2 linked regions of the Schizosaccharomyces pombe genome follow. Each later gene encodes a partner of the first gene's protein in a complex. Each region holds a gene or a part of one and is shown in the gene's direction. Other genes may lie near its edges. The genes, in order: phf1 and lsd2.

Region 1 (4,520 bases):
GATCGATGTTCGATAGAAAACGATTAATTAATGGAGTTTCTTCAAGTATTATGAGTCCCTAAAGGATGAAAGGAGTTATGATATAGTGAGAATAATCAGTTTGTTTAAAATAAAATATCCTTTTCACACATAAAATAAAAAAGCACTTAGTAAATGATGCTTTAGCGAAACCTATTTAATGGTTCGAAACTGCGTTGTTAGATAAAAATTCACAGTTGAGAAAATTGGGAGACGCAACATAGGTAAAGCCTTGAAAAGCAGAGGAATGGCTACCAATTGTTAAATTCCCAAATTCTTCATGAAGAATGGGTGTTGTAGAAAGAGGCAATTTGGTAAACTCGACTGAAAAATTCTCCGCAGCCTCAGGATTGGTGATGCAAGGAACAATTGGGGGAGGCAGCATGCGCTTCTCTAACTTATTCCAATCAATTCGGCGATAAATTCTGTGCTTTTTTATTGCATCGTAACCTTTCTCGGGACCATCTGCGCCGAGGCGTTGCTTTGGATTTTTCTTGAGAAATTTGTTGATAATGTCTCTAGCATCAGAAGTCACATAAAAAGGTATGTTAGGCTTTGCACGAGTGATTTTTTCCATAATTCTCTTATGATTGTTGGCGGTGAAGGGGGGAGATCCTGTAAGAAGATCGAATATGAGGATACCCATAGACCACCAATCGACGGCATGATCATATGGCTGCTCCAACAAAATTTCTGGAGCACAATATTCCTCAGTGCCTACAAAAGAACGACAATCAGCTCCATTTTCAGCCACCTTTGACAATCCAAAGTCTGTAAGAAGGATATGGCCTTCAGCATCCAAAAGACAATTCTCTGGCTTTAAGTCCCGATACACAATACCAAGTTTATGTAAATGTATCAATGCTAGAGTCAATTCAGCAGTATAAAAAGCAACCACATCCTCAGGAAGCATCCTTTGCTCGGCCAAATGAGAAAATAACTCTCCTCCAGGTGCATATTGCAATATCAGATAAAGACGATCGTGGTCTTGAAAAGCATAATAAAGGCGACAAATGAACGGATGTCGAACCTCTTCTAATATCTGTCGCTCATTTTTGGTTTGTTCGAGGCCCTTGGCACGAAGAACAATGCTAGCTTTCTTTAGCTGTTTCTGAGCAAACAGTCGTCCAGTATTTTTTTGCTTCACTAGGAGCACCTTTCCGTAAGAGCCACGACCCAATACCGTTAAGGGTTGAAAGTCTGCTGGACGCATCTTTCCGCTTGGTACATAGTTGTCACCCTTGGAAGAAATAAAATCACCATGGGCAGCAACCTTAAACTCTACCGTCCCCTTTTCATCTTTGGCATTCTTTCCATCCTTCAAATCACTTGACGAAGTGATTGTCGACGCAGATGCCTCCAATTCTTCAAAATCATATCCCTCCTCTGCAATCTCATCGTCACTAGACAAATGGGAATTGTAATTCTCATTCAAATTGTCGTGCTCATCAAACATAAAGACAGGCATCTTTGAGCAATTTGTACTGTGAAGGATCACAAGTTTGGCATATGTATGCCCAAAATGCCTTTTCCTTGTTGTTTGGTAGACGAACAAAAGACTGCCGGGATGTAGAGCAAGAAATTCTCTTTGTCATACCTCATTTTGTTGATTCAAAACGCATTGCTGATTGGCCAATTTAGTAAAGTTTAGATATATATAAAGCTTTTGATTCGCCCTCTTTACTAATTAAAGTTATCAACTTACTACTTATTGGACCGCTTACATAGGCTATTGTGCGTTTTACTTTAAAATTTTTTTATGCCGAGAAGCTAGATTAGTGATGATTAACGTGTCTTATACGATGTGCTTTGTGCATTTTAACGAATGAAAATGTCTTGTTGCTTATGTTGTTACCGTAATGTAAGGCTGGCTCTGTAAAACGATGCCAGTTTTATATGGCCTATGCATACCTTCTTCTTGAGACGCGCGTGTTAAACTCATCTTTCGTTGAATGGCGAATTTACATCAATGAATTGAGATTTAGGAAGATTTACTTTTTACATAAAGTTATTCTATGGTCTCAGATATTTTGAATTAACATTCACTGCGTGACAATTGCGTGTATCATCATTTTAATTTGCGTTTCATGTTTGCTAGTTTCATCTAATTGTGCATTTCGTTTTAAATCAAAATTTTCCAAATTACTCATATTTATTAGTCCTCGTTTTTTACAATGTCTCAAAAGAATTTTTTCGACGAAGGAAAGAGCTATGGTGTAAATGACTATGCCGGTTTCCATTTTGAAAATGGTGCTGATTCATCCCTTCCTCAGGTATCGGCTCAAGGTGTAGTTAGAGAAACGGACAGCTCGAATTTTGATGCTTCCCCTGTCGCATCGGGTTCTGGAATTTCCGATGTTGGACCATTTGGCGCTGATTTCCATCAACTGCAGCAGCATGTACAGACACCGTATGGCGGTATGACTATGCCTGCATCTTCCTCTTCAGGCGCTACTTCAGTACCACCGGAGCAAGATCCTTCTTTGTCTGTATCATTCAATCGCTTGCCCAAGTCTGCATCAACCAAGACTAAGAATGGACGCATTCGATCGTCTCGTCGGGAAGACGATAATCGTATACCATTTTACGATCTCGATGTTGCAGAAGGTGCCGAGGATGATTTACAGGAAGACTTTCACGTGGAAGGAATGAAAACAAAATCGGGTAGAAAGATTCAGCGGCCAGTCGCATACAATCCTAATGCCACCGCATTGAAACGGAAAAGTCGCAAGGTCGATATGGTCACCTTGTGTAGCGTCTGTCAACGAGGACATTCTCCTTTATCTAATCGAATCGTATTTTGTGATGGATGCAATTCTCCATATCATCAGCTTTGCCATCACCCTCCGATTGACGATGCAACCGTTCAGGATGTGGATGCTGAATGGTTTTGTATGAAATGCCAGTACAGGCGTGCCAAGCAACCTTTAGAAACGGGAATGACGGCACAAGATCTTGGGTTAAGTGAATCAGACAAAAAAATGTATCTATCAAGTTTACCTACTCCTCATCTCGCAGATCTTATTCTTTTTTGTGAAAAGTCTTATCCATCTCTTCCCATATACAACCCACGTACTCGGGAGTTGTTGGGTGAGATTCGGCATCAACTACTTGTTAGTTCTGAACGCCAACAAATATCTTTACAAGAGCGACTTCATGCTAAACAAGATGAAGCTCCCTCTGATGAGCCTGCACCTGTCCCCTATACCGCAAGTTATGTTGCGAATTCTGGAACCTTATACGACTATCCAACGTTAATACGGTTAGCTATTCGTAACACCCTCTCACCTTCCAAAGATGAAATATTTAACTGGCTTGCTCAAAACGTACCATTGTTACCAACTTTTCACGACAGCGCTTCCGAGGCCATTCGTTGGATGGTAAATAAAGGTCAACTGGTCCGTTCCGGTAGCATCTATCAAATAGCAACAGTCGAAGAATACCCTCACCTCCAACCCTCTTTACTTCCTACTTTTCAACGAAACCGTAAGGTACCTAAATTGGTGCCTGTCTCTTTCCCCACCGATGATCCTCAAAATTTATGTGCTACTGTTTTATGAAACTGAACAAATTTTTCTAAATGTATAGACAAAAAAAATTTCTTTACTTCCCGTTTTTAATTAAACGGTTGCGTCCCGTTAATCTCGAAATAAATTTATAAGCGGTCGAAAGCAATGTATCATTACACCATGTATTAGCTGCAAATCAAAGTACTTTAGTATTTCCTTCATGGATTCAAACTTTTCACTCGATAACAAATCTAGGGAAAATACATAAATCGCCCTACACACTTTCTGTTTACATTATAAACTTTTCGTTTGGAATGTTTCCTCGCCATGAAATCTTAAAATAAAATAAAATAAGGAAATGAACAATTTCTCAATTTAGCAATAATTAAGAAAGTCAATGAAGTATAATAAAAAATAATTATTTTTAAAGTATGACTTACAACCATTATTATCGGTCAATGTCAGGGTGTTACAGCGCACCTTCTACTTACCACCAAAGATGAGGTCCACGTTGGCTAGCGCTCAGAAAGCAGCCGTACGTATTCCAAAGGGCTTTGTATTTCCTGTTCCAAAAGTAAAAAGTGCTCCTAAGGTTTCAGACACGCACCCTTTGTGGAATTTCTTTCGGGACAAGCAAGCCCTTCCACCACCATCGGAAGAGGCTAAATTCGGTAGAGCATGGGCTGCAGAAGAGCTTCGTTGGAAGTCTTTTAATGATCTACATGGACTTTGGTACAATTGTCTCCGAGAGAAGAACCTATTGTTCACACAAAGGGCTGAAATGAAACGCTTACAGTTGACTATTCCCAAAGCCTCAAATGAGCGTGTACTTGCAGTCAATAAAACCATGGCAGCTATCAAATTTGTCCTATGGGAACGCCAAAGAGCATATACTTCTGCCAAGCAGCTCGAGAAACAAAAGGGATCTTCTTAAACCCCTTCCTTTTAGGAAAACAGAAAATCATCCAAGTATGGCTTTATTATGATCTAAAG
Region 2 (6,621 bases), on another chromosome or scaffold:
TTAACCCCGAAGAGCCACCCTCAAATTCCGACAAGCAGCCATCAATGTCAAATGGACCGAAATCAGAAGTTTCACCTTCGCAATCTCAGCAAGCTCCTTTAATCCAATCCTCTACCTCGCCGGTTTCTTTGCAGTTTCCTCCTGAAGTTCAGGGATCAAATGTAGATAAACGCAATTATGCTTTGAATGTTCTTTCGCAATTGCGTTCTCAGCATGATTTAATGATTCAGGAGTTGCACAATTTAAATCAGCACATTCAACAAATAGATGAATGGCTGAGGTCCTCTGACAATGAAAATATGGCTTCTGAACATATTAAATCCTCAACCCCTGCTGTTGTTGCATCTGGAGCTCTTCAAACATAAACTTGATTGGCATGTTTGTCGTGCGGCATATTTATTTATGGTAAACAAATTAGATATTATCCCGTTTAGCTGTCTATTACTTACAAGCATGACATTGTATACTATGAGTTTAGGGTAAAATACTTCACATGATTCTTATTGGTCTTTTGTTTTGCGTTAGTTTTGGTATTGGCCAAGTCCGTCTGCGGTGTTATATTCGTTAAGAGCTGGAAAATAATATTCAGTCCTTAGCGATTTACCGTTAAATTTAGAGTTAACATATATGTTTTTAATGAAATCCTATGTGGAGCATTTTTTATGATATTAATACGCATCGAAAAAGCAGATATTGAGAAAAAATAATACTACCGGATTTATATGGTATGTAGATAGTTAATATATTAAATATATTTAAACTGCCCGAGTGCAAACTCATTTGGAAATTGTCAATTCATTAATATATTTTTACAATTTTTCGGGGGAAAAAACATTTGTATACAACTATTTAAAACGGAAAATGGAGTTGCTTGTAAAAAGCAGTATCCATGGTTAATTAGTTCATTCGCAAAAAGTCATTGCTTGACTTTTAAAACTATATGATTAGGCTGAAATTTTAATTGTTCATTACAGCACATATATAAAAAACTTACACTTAATTTTCAGCTCAAATAACTTCGCTATTCATTATTTAATCTATTTAAATCAATAATAATGTAATTATGATATATATCATTTAGTTTTTCTGTTAACAACCAACAGTCCCGTGTTCTAGTGGTATGATTTCTCCTTCACACGGAGAAGGTCCCGGGTTCGATCCCCGGCGGGACTAGACTTTTTGTAAAATTCAACAATAGCGAACTTGAACCATAATGAGATGTTTTAGTATAATATTGATAAACAGTTAATCTACACTACTACTCTAAACATCCTAAGCTTTTCTGAATCTTAACAGCAATGTAACATATTTTTGGATTGTTATAATAATTTACTCCATTTGTTCTATTCTCCGCTGACTATACTTTCAAGTGTATTGTAATATTGTTTTCTGCAAGTTGAAATCAACGAGTTTAGGTAGTAGTCTTTAGCATGAAAGAGCTAACACATTAATGCAATAATTTGGAAAATGAATACAAATTAATGAACTTCACATTTTTCGTTCATCATTTCCAAAGTGTTAAGCCTGTAGAAGAGAGCAAATGCGATCGTAGAATAATACTCGCAATATGAATCAGATAAATAGGCAATTGAATGCCTCTCGGGCGTTCTTCATGGTATTCAAATAATTAAAGACACATGTATTATCTAAAAGAAAAATATAAATTCTGGATAGTCTGATAGATGATTGATTGGACTTGACATAAAAATGCTTATAATATTTGTCGTTATCCCATTATGCTATAATATTTAGAACGATATTTTTTTAACGAATCGTTAAGGATATGTTGCGCAAAGTACTTTGTAAACACCAAATCGAGATTCAATGAGATTTTACCACCTCGGTTCACTTTGATTGTATCTTTTTACTCTATGAACACGAGCGAGAATGATCCAGATGGTCATTATGACTTTCCAGAAATGACAGAGCATCATTCTGACCGGGCTTCATCATATGCTAACGCCAACAACGTTAATTCAACTCAACCTCAATTGGTGAGTAGTGAACAAGCGCTTTTAGCTATTTTAGGAGGTGGATTACAGTCTATCACACCTAATTCTGTTAATCAGAACGCGTATTCAAGGTCAACTTATCGTACAGATGGCGGCTTAAATTCACAGCCAGTTAGCTCACTGAACAATCAATGGGGAAACTATAATCCAGCATTTTTACCTTCTAGATATGATTCCTCTTTTCACCCTTACACAATTTCGCAAGCGGCTAATCAACCATTTCCTCAGCATCTTTTAGGCAATTCAAATGCAGGTGTCGCTCAGCAGTCTGGAATGAGAACAATTGGATTACCTCCAACTGTAGGTTCCTCTTTTCCTCAACAAAAGTCATCCACATACGAAAACTTTTTTGATGCAAACTCTCCGTCTTCTCAGCAATTTCCATCTACATATCCTTCACGATCACAAAACCCGCTTTCTTCCAGTGGAGATGGTTCAACGGCAATTCATGCAGGCCCCATTCAACACCAAAACTCAAATGCCTTTTCCAATTATCCGTATCCATTAGACGCTTCTCATTTATCTTCTCAGCAACTTTTGTCGATGTATCGGGATCAAGTTTCTCATGGAGTTACCCCATCTACATTCCGCAATCATGAAAGTTTTATGCCTACACAGTTGGTATCAGCAACAGAATTATCTAAAAGTGTTGATAACGCAGTTTTGCCAATACCACCTACTACTGCACCGGCAGTTGTATCGCCTCCTGCTTCATCTTTCCCTTTAATGTCTTCAGCTGCTACATCTGGTAATATTAGTAGTCCTGCACTTTTTGATTCAGAGTTAGGTGCTAGGCCTGAAGGTTCTGTTGCAATTGAGCCGTCTAGAGTACTGCTACAATGGTCTAGTCAATCATCATCTCATACTATACCATCTGCAGGAGCCAGTATCCCTACATCTTCTTTAAAGTCGTTTTTTGAGCATGCCGCTGAAGCAGCTCGTAAATGCAATCTCGATCCGAGGGCCTTAGAAAGTTTTGAACAACACATGCTTTCTGATCGTTTACACGATCCCGTTGTATTATTTCATTATTTCCAAATTCGTAACAGCATTTGTTGGCTTTGGATTAAAAATCCTACGCATGCCATATCCAGAGTTGAAGCTCAGGGCGTATGTGTCGATCGATGTTTGTTCCAATTAGCCTCTTTAGCTTATGAATTCCTTGTAAGGTATGGATATATAAACTATGGATGCTTGTCCTTTGATTCATCCTTTACGAATGAAACTAATACTGGCACAACATCCAGTTCTGCATCGAAGCAGAAGACTATTGCTGTAGTAGGCGCTGGTCTTACTGGTTTGATATGTGCTAGACAACTTACTGGCTTATTTTCTCAGTATTCTTCATCTTTTTTGTCAAAGAATGAGCTTCCTCCTAAAGTTATTATACTTGAAGCTAAAGAAAGGACAGGAGGTCGTATTTACTCTCGAGCATTGCCTGTTTCTCATACTTCGGCTACCCAAATTAACCATCATACATCTAATTCGAATTCTATTTCTAGTAATTCCACTTCTTTAAACCCCAAGGATGTTACTGACCCGTCCCATATTCCTTCAGCAATTGATTTGGGATTTCAATTTTTATTTTCGCCTATGGACGATATTTTGCTTAACCTTTTAAATAAACAATTGGGTATTGAAGTTACAGAGATGACTGGCTCAGATTTAGTTTACGATGAGACCGATACTAAAGTATTAGACATGGTTGAGGTGAAAAAATTAAACATTTTATGGGAAAAACTTTTGGAATATGTTTCTGTTTGCTTTTTTATTAACGTTGAGGAATCTGTTCGTATTTCTTGGATATCCCAATTTCAGTTGTTTATAGATGAAATGTTCCCTGATCATTTGTCCAAATCACTCTCATTAAATGCGTCACATGAATTTTCCTTCAAAAAAACAATGCTAATACTAATTGATGAAGTTTCTTCTTATGCCAAACTCGGGAACAGTCAAAAGAAATTTCTGATATGGTGTTTTAAGGTCGCGGAATTGGACGATACTTTGTACCCTCTTAACACAGTTGATACAGACTTCTCCAAAGATATTTTGATTCCAAAAGTTGCTAGAAGAGGTCTATCTCAACTGCCATGGGCATTACAATCTTATCCATCTCCCTTAAATATTCATTATGAGAAGTTTGTATCTAAGGTAACTATTGAAAATGATAAATGTACCCTTGATTGTAAGGACAACTCTTCTTATGAGGTTGACCAAGTTGTAATTGCTTGCTCTCCTTCTCATTTTTCTTCAAATATAGAGTTTTCACCAGGTCTTCCTAATTTCGTGACTGAAAACATAAAAAGTATAGATTTCAAACCCGGAAAAAAGGTAGGTTTTTATTTATTTATTTTTTTTTCAATTATAAAGTTAACATTGAGCAGGTTATTCTTCGTTATGCAGCTGCTTTTTGGCGAAAGAACATTAGATCATTTGGTATTATACCAAAATCATTAAGTCAAGAAATGAACAATGATGAGAATGATGGTAAATCTTGTTTTGTTTTGAGAATATGGAATATGCTTCCTGAAACTGGTGTCCCAATATTAGTAGCGGATATCAATCCACAAATGACAAGTTCTTCTTCTAACGAGACCTCCCACTTAATTCAAGAATTACACAGTCTAATAGTAGATCATTTTCAAAATGATTCAAACAGCTCAGCTGATTTATTAGATGCTTGGGTCACAAACTGGTCGAGAAATGGTGTCTATGACGGCTTAAATTCTTATCCAAATTTTGCCAATGATAAGCAGCAATATGAAAAAAGATTTAGGCAAAGTCAGTTATCGTATAATTTGGGTCGCTTGCATATTGCTGGAGACTATATATTCAGTTGCGTAGGCTGTAGGACATTACAAAGATCCTTTTTATCTGGCCTTTCCGTATGTACAGGGATTATTGATTCATTGGCTCCAATTTCCTTAACCATACCTATCATTGGAGAAACCTCTCGCAAAGAATTGGATCAGTTTTTGCGAAACTCTAAAGTTAATAATTTTGATCCCAATGCTGAAGCACAGCGTCACCTTTCTTATCAGGCAAGATATAGGTTGAAAAAGCAGGAAAGACTTGACGAGCATAAGGAAGAACAGGAACAGCTTGTAACTGAACTTCTTGGTTATTTACCTGAACCTCCTTCCAAGCCGAATGCAAATCCCTTTTTACTTTACCAAAAAATGCAGTGGCATGTATGCCGTGCACTTGCTGATGAAGACAAGCGAAGGTTAACAGGAGATAGTACAGCGAAGGCTACTATTAATGAAACACGTGCCAAACTAGGGAAAACTTGGCGCCAGCTTGATGATTTAGGTAAAAAACCTTGGATTGATGAAATTGCAGCACAAAGAGAAGCTTATGCTGGAAAAATTCTTCGTTATCAGCGCCTAACTAAAGAATATGAAATGAGAGCCGAGCAAATACGAAATGATTATGCGGCCAAATGCCAAGATGAACCTATTCCCGATGATGAAGCAAGATTGTTTATGCAAGCTCAACGAGAAGAAGAGCAAAGAAAACAAACTCAGGATGACAACATTTCCAAAAGTCGAGAGGCTAGCGACGAAGAGTATCATGACGATGGATCTTCTGATTCGGGTTATAATGGAACACGATATTAAAAGAAAAAAAATCAAATCACATATTGTTTTTTAAAAGTTTAGTTACTTCGCATCATTACAAATACCCTTAAAATTTTATGTACATATATATTCTCGTCATGCCCTAAATGAAGCATTTTATCAAATTGCTAATTTCAGCAAATTGTTTAAGGAAAATCTAAAATACATGTACACTTCTCGTTAGCCAGTAGCCAACCTGATTTAATGCCGAAGATGTAAGAGATAAAAGATGATATCGTAAACACAGCTACTACTCTCACTCTTTAGGATGTAATGCATGTTACCATTTTGCCATTAACATAATATTCAAGCAACAAATGATATTACTAGTACGCTTGTGAAATAAATAAAAAAATAAGTTATTAGAAAAAAAGTAATTAAAATTAACTAAGAATCATTAAATTAAGCCAAAACAGATGCGGTTGTATTTGTTGCAGACACCATGGACACTATGTATCTCAAAGCAAGTACTACAACGAAATAGTTAAAAAAAAAACATAAGATGCATATGATATTAAAATAAAATAATATAAAAATGCCGAGTTATTGACTCCAGTCCATATTTGGACATGTATAATTAAAAGCATTATCCAAAAGTTAATAGGAGATGGCATCTCAATTGTCAAAAAAAAAGTGGTTGTTATAAAGACTCGTAATTCAGGAAGTCTGTTATAAATAATTAAAGAGACTGTAAGACTTCATTGATAAGAACATCGAATTCTTTAGCATACGCCATGTTCAAAGCGTGTGGATCTTGTAGCATATTGTCGTCAGGCAAAGGGGAGCTAAGACTTGAATCTGAACAGTATGATACGGAATTAGATCGTTCATAACCCATTGGCAAAGTAGCTAGATACAGAGCATTGGATGAACTTCTTCTGGAAGGCGATACGGCACAGTGATTATTATGAACTTGATCTTCAGCAGTAGGCAAGCTTTCAGAAAATGATAGATTTCTATGACATGAAAGAGCTGAAAAGTCACCGGAA

Evidence for each region.
Region 2: phf1 (region 1) and lsd2 share a complex: the UniProt entries of both Schizosaccharomyces pombe proteins name them as parts of the SWM histone demethylase complex.

The regions. Positions count from the first base shown.
Region 1 is NC_003421.2:457,925-462,444, forward strand, and holds phf1 (PHD finger domain-containing protein Phf1), read left to right. Parts: upstream 1-1,943; 5' UTR 1,944-2,192; coding exon 2,193-3,578; 3' UTR 3,579-3,990; downstream 3,991-4,520. Other genes in the region: serine/threonine protein kinase S6K family Psk1, read right to left, coding at 176-1,486; mrpl4 (mitochondrial 54S ribosomal protein uL29m), read left to right, coding at 4,027-4,461. UniProt on the Schizosaccharomyces pombe protein: Component of the SWM histone demethylase complex that specifically demethylates H3K9me2, a specific tag for epigenetic transcriptional activation, thereby acting as a corepressor.
Region 2 is NC_003424.3:444,899-451,519, forward strand, and holds lsd2 (putative histone demethylase SWIRM2), read left to right. Parts: upstream 1-1,871; coding exon 1,872-4,343; intron 4,344-4,396; coding exon 4,397-5,632; 3' UTR 5,633-5,828; downstream 5,829-6,621. Other genes in the region: Fe-sensing transcription factor Fep1, read left to right, coding at 1-365; meiosis specific arrestin family membrane adaptor Ste7, read right to left, coding at 6,312-6,621. UniProt on the Schizosaccharomyces pombe protein: Catalytic component of the SWM histone demethylase complex that specifically demethylates H3K9me2, a specific tag for epigenetic transcriptional activation, thereby acting as a corepressor.